Oryza sativa Japonica Group: one gene and its partner. The protein of the gene in region 1 binds, or shares a complex with, the protein of each later gene. Links are inferred from orthologs where the notes say so. Each region holds a gene or a part of one and is shown in the gene's direction. Other genes may lie near its edges.

Region 1 (4,220 bases):
AGATAAAAGGAAAATATAAAGTCCTTATCGGACACTAAACACACTTTTCTAAAGATAAAAAGGAAACTAACAAACTATTCCTAATTAATAGATAAACTGCCATGCCGCATCCTCTTTAAACTCGGTCACTTAGAGATAAGCTTCCTTTAGTAGATTGATTTCCTTAACCGAATATAGCAGGAATTCGACTATTGGTGACTTGATAACTCTCATCGGCTGATTCCGAGATGCTACAGCCGATAATGATTCTAAGCCGATGACGCCTTTGTCGATTATCAAATTTCACTGTTAATAGATAGCTCAGTTTTTTATAAATAGAAAGGAGTATTTGCCGCCTAAATATTTTCTTTGATGATACAGCGTATATTGCTAATCAATCTTGATCGCCATTTACTAATCCAAGATTTCGCTACTACATTAGCACCTTGTTTTGAAAAGGATGCTAAAAGTACTCCATTCTTTTTCTATTCAAAAAAGAAGAAGCTATACAGAGCATAAATATTTCTTTGATCCTACGGTGTACTACTGTGCTATACTATATCAAACCATCGATTGGCATTTACTAATCCAATACTATTTCCTCGCACCATGTTTCGAAAATGATGCCAAAAATAGTCCATTGGGCCTCAACAATTAATAGTACTCCTAAAGCACATTCTCCATTCCATAAAAAAACCACCCTATTACCGAAACGTGACACATTCTAATACCACAAATATATTTATATAGATACAATCCAAGTTTACTTTTTAAAATTTGAGTGGCCTACGGCGGCTACGGTTGCATGCACGTATTTTCTTGGTTCCATAAAAAAAATAACATAGTGTTGAACGTCTATTCAGATTTATAGTATTAAAATATATCATATTTCGTACTAATTTAGTCTTTTATAGAATTGAGAGAGTACTCTATTCATCTAAAAATGGACAATCCTTCGTAAGTTGAGTTTTTCTTTTGGGATGGAGGTGGGTACGTGCATACAACTGGTTCACATACTATAGACACTTATATATGAAACAAATAAGAGGATGATCCTATTATATAATAACAGTGATATTATGGTAGATGATGCTCACCTACCCAAGTTTGAAAACTAAACTTGAATTAAGTGGATATCAAACGGGAATCATTAGCCCAATAAACAAAAAACGAATGCTACTATTACCAACCAAACACTACAGGAAAGAGTAGTACTAGTCCCACTCCCACCAACAACAGTTGAGATCCTCTCCAGTACTGCATGTGCCGTACTGCTCACTAATATGTGGGCCCGAGGGGCTATAGGGCTCACATGTCAGGGAGCCTACTGCATGAGAGGACCTGCATCCCACCAACAACTCGACAGGGTCAAAGCCGAGAAACAGCCACGAGGCCGCCTCCCTCTCCAAAACCGTAGTGACCTCGCCCTGTGTGGCTGTGTCCCCAAACCCGGTAAAAAAAAGGGCCCCCCCGGAAAGTCCTAGACCGAGAAAAGCTGCGACCTCCGTTGCGCGAGAGAGAGAACGAGACGAACGGAAGGAGTTGGGAAAGGGAGACGCGAGATTTGTTGTTACCACTAGGAGGCCATGGTGGTGGTGGTGGTGTGCGTGCGGGGGAATTAGGAGGAGGAGTAGTTGTTGTTGTTTGGTAGAGTCGAGCTTGCGTAGTTCTCGTGGGCTCTCGTTTTTGCGTTGCGTGTGCCTCGCCATCCGCCGCGTCCCTATCCAACCCCCCTCCCCGCATTCCCTCTCCCCCTCGTCGTCGTCGTCTTCCTCCTCCTGCGGCGGCGACGGCACAGATAAGATTTGGTTAGGAGCTGTTTTGTTTGTTGGGTTGAAATCGTCAAGTAACGTGGACGTGGGGGTGAAGCAAAGGAAGGGAGGGGAGATTGGGTTTGGGTGGTGTGAGGATTGATTTGTTTTTTTTTTTTGGGGTTTTCTCTTCTTGATTGATTCGTTCTTGGCGTTGAGGAGAGGCAGCGGTGTTCGTTAGATTGATTTTTCGCTGTCTCGGGAGAATTTCGCTTTCCCGGTTGGGGGATTCCCTCGGTGGGGGGCATCTGATTCGCGATCGGGTTGGATTAGATTCTTTTGGTGCAACGTAATCTGATAAGGGGAAAAAGAAATTTCAAGATTGTGAGGAGGAGGAGGAGGAGGTGATCGAGAGAGGGCATCGATTCTTGGTGGTGCCAGGGGAGCCATCGGAGTCGTGGGGGTGGAGGTGGAGGTGGGGGGAGCCCGATCTCGGGTGGCCGCGGCGGCGATGGCCGACCGGCTGGATCGGTGGCGCGAGCTCCTCCGCGGGGCGGCCGGCTCCGCCGGAATCTGCGACGTGATCGAGAACGCCATCCTCGTCGCCGCCGCCGACGCGCCGCAGGAGCTCCTGCGCCGCCGCGACCGCATCTGCGAGATCCTCTTCACCGCGCCGCGCGCCCCGCCCTGCCACCACGGGTGCGGCAGCGCCGCCACCCCGACCCCGGCCACCCCCGTGGAGGAGGACAAGGGCAGCGTGCGCCGCGTCCCCGAGAAGCAGAGCAAGGTGGACAGCAGCAGCAACGGCGCCCTCGGCGGCGGCGGCGGCCGCCGCGACGACGTCGATGACGACTCTGACTCTGACTCCGACGACGAGCGCCTCCGCCGCGCCGCGGCGAGCAACTACGGTCACAACTACGATGATGACGACGAGGAGGAAGAGGAGGAGCAGGAGGCGGCGCCGGCTGAAGAGGACGAAGAACAAGAGCTGGACCCCGAGGCTGTGGAGCTTGAGGCACTCACCAACGAGATCGACGAGGAGTCACAGGTCGTCGGCGAGGTTCTCCGCATCAAGGACCTCTTCTTGCACAAGGAAGATCATGTATGATGAACTATTCCCAGCTTTCAGTTCTTCCATGAGTAAGAGTTGTGCCATTCCTCAACAGGGACTTAACATTTGATCTCAACTGTGGTTTTCGCAGTCGGATGCTACTTTGTTCGAATCACTGAGGAGGCTGCAGCTGATGCAATTGTCCGTTTCCACGCTGAAGGTACTGTGTTGGATAGCGCATATGAGCTATGCGGAGTGACGCATAGTGGTTCTGTTTGGTTTGCTAATCTCCGATGTTGTTTGTTGTAGGCTACTGAGATTGGGAGGGCTGTTAATGGGCTGCGGAAGCACAACTCGCAGCAAATTCGTCACCTTGTGCGCACTCTCATTGAGTAAGTTCAATATGCTTGCACTAAATTTCATTCTCTAGGGCTGATCTAGCTTTTAATTTAGAGAACTTGCTGAAGCAAATTGATACTCTACTGTACCTATAAGTTTCTGAAAACATGATACGAGTCTACTGATTTAGCTTCTGTATTCTCCAGTCTTTGTACTACTTGAGTGAATTATTTACCTTATTTGTAGTGTGGTTATTAACCAATTTTGGAAACATTGTTGACGTCTTAAAACATTTTTTTTTCAGAGGTTGGAAAATTTTGGTTGATGAGTGGGTCAGCACCACTAATGTTGCCCTTACAGGTAATAAAAGTTATTTTGTTTCATATCGCGTATGAGTCATCAATTTGTAAGTGAATGTTCACCTCTTAACATGTAATGGATCTTTTGATCTGTAGACAACTCCCCGGGCTCTTCAAAAACATCTGTTGTCGATGATGCTGATGATGAAGGGCTTCCTTCTCCACCTCTGGATGAAGGGGCGTTCTTTGCAACCCAGACTACTGCTATTCAACTCTCTGAGGTACTAATTTTTGTTTGTTCCTGGTATCTGGATTGTTTTGGTCCAGAACACAATTCTAACTTTGCATTGTTGTTTTTCTTTCTGCTTCATCTTCCTGACCTAAAGTTCTTTGATGAAATGGATGAAGATGGAAGTAAGTACAACAACTCAAATTACATAGTTTCCCTTTTTTTTCTGTGCACTATAATAATTCAAGTTATACATTTTATGACAGACTTGAGACATAACAATGATGGGAGCCTTGGAAATAAGAGAGAAAATTATGGCAGGAGGCCTACAAGCCATCCAGCTTTGACAAAGCAAGAGCCTCCCCGTAACATGGGAGCTGTTGAAAAAGTTCAATCCAGGAGGCCGGAATTGGCAAGGCAAGAGCCATCAATGAGGCAGGCTAACCCACAAACCCCTCAAAATTCAAGTTTGCAAGTCAAACAGCAGGCCATGCTTCACAAGCAATCTAAGCCCTTGAGTTCTGATTCTGGACCTGGGAGACCATTAAGGGCAGCTCCTCAGCAGAAGCCCT
Region 2 (4,308 bases), on another chromosome or scaffold:
CTCTCAAGCCTACCTTTTATTGCCATTACACCAGTTGCATCTTCTACCTTAATGTGACCATGTAACAGCGTGCTATATGTGAAGTTATCAGCAGCAATACCTTCATATATTTCAACAGCCTTCTTGGTGTGACCAACCTTACATAGACCATTTATTACTGAATTGTATGTTACGATTCCAATCTTTATCCCCTTTTTATCCATCTCTTCAAGCAAAGAGAAAGCCCTATCCAAATATCCCTTTTTGCACAAATTGTCAATCAAAATTGAGTAAACATATTCATCCACCACCACTCCTGTCTGTTCCAGTTTCCTCACTATAGAAAAAGCATCATCCAACCTGTTTCTCTTGCAGAAACCACCAATCAATGATGTATAAGTGATCAAATTCGGCTTAGCATCCCTTCGGTTCATCTCATCCAAGAATCCCATCACTTTTTCCACACTACGTTCTCTGCAAAGTCCATCAATAACAGTAGTATAACTAACTACATCAGCTGCAATGCCCTTATCTAACATCACCCGATGCTCACGGAGCCCTTTCATCAATAACCCGCTACTCATGTATCCATGAACCAAGCTGCCATATAAAACAGCATCACCAACCAACCCCTTCCCTTCCATCTCCCTTACCAATTGTGCTGCCTCAGTAGTTCTCCCTACACGGCCAAGCACATCGACAAAAGCGGTTAATGTGATCAAGCCTGGCTCAAATCCATTGAACTCTCTCCTCACCCTCCTATAGAATTCCAGCCCATCCCCAGCCTTCCCGACCTTGGAGAAGCCTGAAATGATCACGCTGCAAACACGATCATCCACCTGACACCCCGCTGCAGCCATTACGTCGAACACCTTGAGCGCGGTCTCCATGTCACCGCGGGCACACAGCATCGTCAGGGCCACACGATACGTGGACGGAGAAAACACGAGCCCGCACTCCTCTACGCCGGCGGAGAGCACCTCCAGCGCGCGGCGAGCATCGCCGCGCACCGCGCAGGCCCGGCGGAGCAGCGCGTCCCAGAGGCGGCGCGCGGAGGAGGTTGCCGGGCCGGCGAGCGCGAGGCGCGCTGCCGCGTCGCGCGGACGGGAAGAATCTAGAAGCGCCGAGGCGACCAGGAGGTGGGTGCGCGCGGTGGGGCGCACGGAGTTGGCGACCGCCTGCGAGGCGAGCGCGCCGACGAGGCGGTGCCTCCGCCGGCGGAGGAGCGCCGCCAGTAGGATGTCCACGCGGCGCGGCGTGACGGCCCTTCCGAGCTTGACCAGCGACGGGAGCGGCGGTGGTGGTCGGGGCTCGCCGCCGGCGAGCGGCATGGCGGAGGGTGGTGGTGGTGGCGCCGCCGCCGCGTGGGAAGCGAAGCGCAAACGTTCGAAACGTTGGAAGCCGATGGCGTGGGCCGAATTTGGATACGAGCTTGTTTGGATCTGGGCCTGAATAGATATGGGCTTGTATTGGTTCTGGGCCTGTTTGGATATGGGCTTATTTAGGTGAGGCGTTTCGAGTCGGAAGCGAGAAGGGGAGAAGAGGAAGATGCAGCAAGCGCAGGCGTCGGCGGTGGTGGCCGCGCCGGTGGCGGCGGCGGCGGCGGCGGCGGCGGGGGCGACGGGGCACCAGCACGAGGGGGCGAGGGGTGACGCGCCGCCGAAGCAGGTGGCGCAGGCGATGGAGCGGCTGGGGCGGGCGGGGCGGCTCATCGCGGACATCCGGCTGGGCGCGGACCGTCTGCTCGAGGCGCTCTTCGTCGCCGGCGACGCGCCCCCGCACAGCGCCCCGCAGCACGTTGAGAAGACCGCGCTCGCCGTCGCCCAGGAGGAGGCCGCCATGCACCGCCACTTCGACGACCTCCGCGCGCTCGGGAGGTAAACCCATCTCCGCCCCGTGCCCCCACACTCTCCGATTCAGAAGTTTTTCATCGATTCCTTAACCTTTGACTGTTACGTCGCAAAATACAACTAATTCCCTCCGAGAAGAACCATTCCCGTCATGATTCCACGGTTGCAGTCTCAAAATGAAAAAGGAACATTCCCGTCATGATACCACGGTTGCAGTCTCAAAATGAAAAAGAAATATTCCCGTCATGATACCACGGTTGCAGTCTCAAGAAGAAAAAGGAAAACCCTTGTCTAGATAATTTCTGGAAATTGGTGGCTGGGATATTGATTTAACTTCTTTGGATTGTATGATTGGACTTTTTTTAAAGTAATAATCTCCTTCCCAGTTTAGGCATGGCAGCACATTTTTTTTCCACTAAATTGTTCTGTAATAATGGTTAATCACCATAAACTGATGCCACACTCTTCTTTGGTGTTATCCAATTGCTTGTATCTTGTGAAACCCTTCTACCTATGAAACCTTGCTACGAGAGATGCACGGACAGGCTTAACTGCTCAACTTTGGTATATGAACTTTAGCATTCTAGAATATTGGCTGGGTGCCTGGGTCTATCAGATTGGGATGCATTTCTGGAACTCGTGTTCCTTGGCTTGTAATAGAGCAATATTTAACCTTAATTGAACAGCTTCAGCTTGAACTTGTTTTGGGGCTGTTTGGATCAGGGACTAAAATTTTAGTCCCGGTCACATCAGATGTTTAACACTAATTAGAAGTATTAAACGTAGATTAATGAAAAAATCCATTTCATAACCTTGAATTAATTCGCGAGACAAATCTATTGAGCCTAATTAATCCATGATTAGCCTATGTGATGCTACAGTACACATGTGCTAATTATGGATTAATTAGGTTTAAAAAAATTGTCTCGCGAATTAGCTCTCATTTATGCAATTAATTTTATTATTAGTCTACGTTAAATACTTCTAATTAGTATCCAAACATGCGATGTGACAGGGACTAAAATTTAGTCCCTGGATCCAAACACCACCTTAGTGCCACTCAGGGCTCGAACTAGTTTTAGTATCACTCGTGGATGGTAAGGATGTAGGGTAGGTGCTCACTCTATAATATTGTCTCAGCAGAGCAGTTATGTGTTGGGTACAATTGTTTACATGTGACCACTTGACCAGTCGTTTGTTGAAGAAGTCTGCAGGCATTTGGAAAATCCATGTTTCATGGCAACATGGTACTATTCTGTCTGATGAATAAAATGTCCAAGCAATATGAACTGCTTGTTAAACGATGGTTTTTGAGTCTTTCTGCAACCTGAAGTTGCTAGATAAACGGAAGATGAAATTTGCAGGTGATATAGTTATGATTTTAGACAGAATAGTTAGTTTGTGAAAATCCTGAAGTTAGGAGTACTAGATAAGCTTAAGCCATGTGACTGAGATTTTTTTAAGTCAAAGGATATTAGGAGCCATCTTCAATAAAGTTAGGTATGTGAACAGGATGGATTCACTCGATTTTGCTGGTGCTTTCTTATTGTTCTTTCACAGTATTCTTGTTATAGTGTTTGGGTTAGTTGTGCTTGTTGCTATTCATGATGTTTTTACTTTGTGATGAACCATCAATCATTGCTTACACAGTTCTCCTGGTAAGTTCCAATTATTTTTATTGAACTTCAAGTTTCAAGTTCCACTATTTCTTCATAAGTGTTGGCCTAGCCAACTGAAAGTAAAGATCTAGTTTTTAAACTGTAGCCTAATAAATATCTTGTATCCATTGCTGTTAGGAAGGCAATTGGAAGAGTCTGGAGTTCTAAATGGAGCCCTTAAAGCCAGAGGCAATTCATGGGGCTTGCACATGCCACTTGTTTGTCCAGATGGTGCAGTTGTGGCATATGCTTGGAAGCGTCAGCTGGCTGGTCAGGCTGGTGCATCAGCTGTTGACAGAACTAGGTAATTTCATTACCATCATTGTTGTGTTGTATGTTTGCTGCCACAATATGATGTGCTTATTTGTCTTATTTATATTCTGTTGATGTGTGAGATTTCATCAACCGTGCATTGCAGAATGCAGATTAAATATTTATACCATGTTATTTCTTCCTGCGATATACGATAATTTTCTTGGCCGATAAATTTGTACTGTTGTTTCCCTCTTTCCCCTTTAAATTTGTACTGTTGTTTCCCTCTTTCCCCTTTTTCCCTTATTTCTCCTTTTTCCCTCTTTTGTTTCTTCTTTTGCACTTTGCTTTCTCTAATCCTTCTACTATGATAATTACATTCTTCCAAGGTGTGGAGTGCTTTTGTAGGAATTGAAGTATTAGATCAGTTCTTGTTTTCGTTGCATCCATATTTTATTTTGATTTTACACAGAATGCATCGGAAATATTCCAACGCCCTTCATTCATGTGCTTCTTTAGATGTATGTACTTATGTTGAAGGCTTCAAGCCTTCGGATCATCCCCTAGTC

The links. Proteins that work in one complex are often made in the same cells at the same time.
Region 2: probable mediator of RNA polymerase II transcription subunit 26b (region 1) and mediator of RNA polymerase II transcription subunit 27 share a complex: the UniProt entries of both Arabidopsis thaliana proteins name them as parts of the mediator complex. The link is inferred for Oryza sativa Japonica Group from reciprocal best matches to the Arabidopsis thaliana genes AT5G05140 and AT3G09180.

What each region holds. Positions count from the first base shown.
Region 1 is NC_089039.1:20,347,257-20,351,476, reverse strand, and holds the start of probable mediator of RNA polymerase II transcription subunit 26b, read left to right. Parts: upstream 1-1,416; 5' UTR 1,417-2,241; coding exon 2,242-2,832; intron 2,833-2,932; coding exon 2,933-3,001; intron 3,002-3,090; coding exon 3,091-3,173; intron 3,174-3,424; coding exon 3,425-3,480; intron 3,481-3,575; coding exon 3,576-3,700; intron 3,701-3,805; coding exon 3,806-3,833; intron 3,834-3,914; coding exon 3,915-4,220. UniProt on the Arabidopsis thaliana protein: Component of the Mediator complex, a coactivator involved in the regulated transcription of nearly all RNA polymerase II-dependent genes.
Region 2 is NC_089035.1:8,936,450-8,940,757, forward strand, and holds the start of mediator of RNA polymerase II transcription subunit 27, read left to right. Parts: upstream 1-1,502; 5' UTR 1,503-1,527; coding exon 1,528-1,856; intron 1,857-3,629; coding exon 3,630-3,791; intron 3,792-4,308. Other genes in the region: pentatricopeptide repeat-containing protein At5g57250, mitochondrial, read right to left, coding at 1-1,310. UniProt on the Arabidopsis thaliana protein: Component of the Mediator complex, a coactivator involved in the regulated transcription of nearly all RNA polymerase II-dependent genes.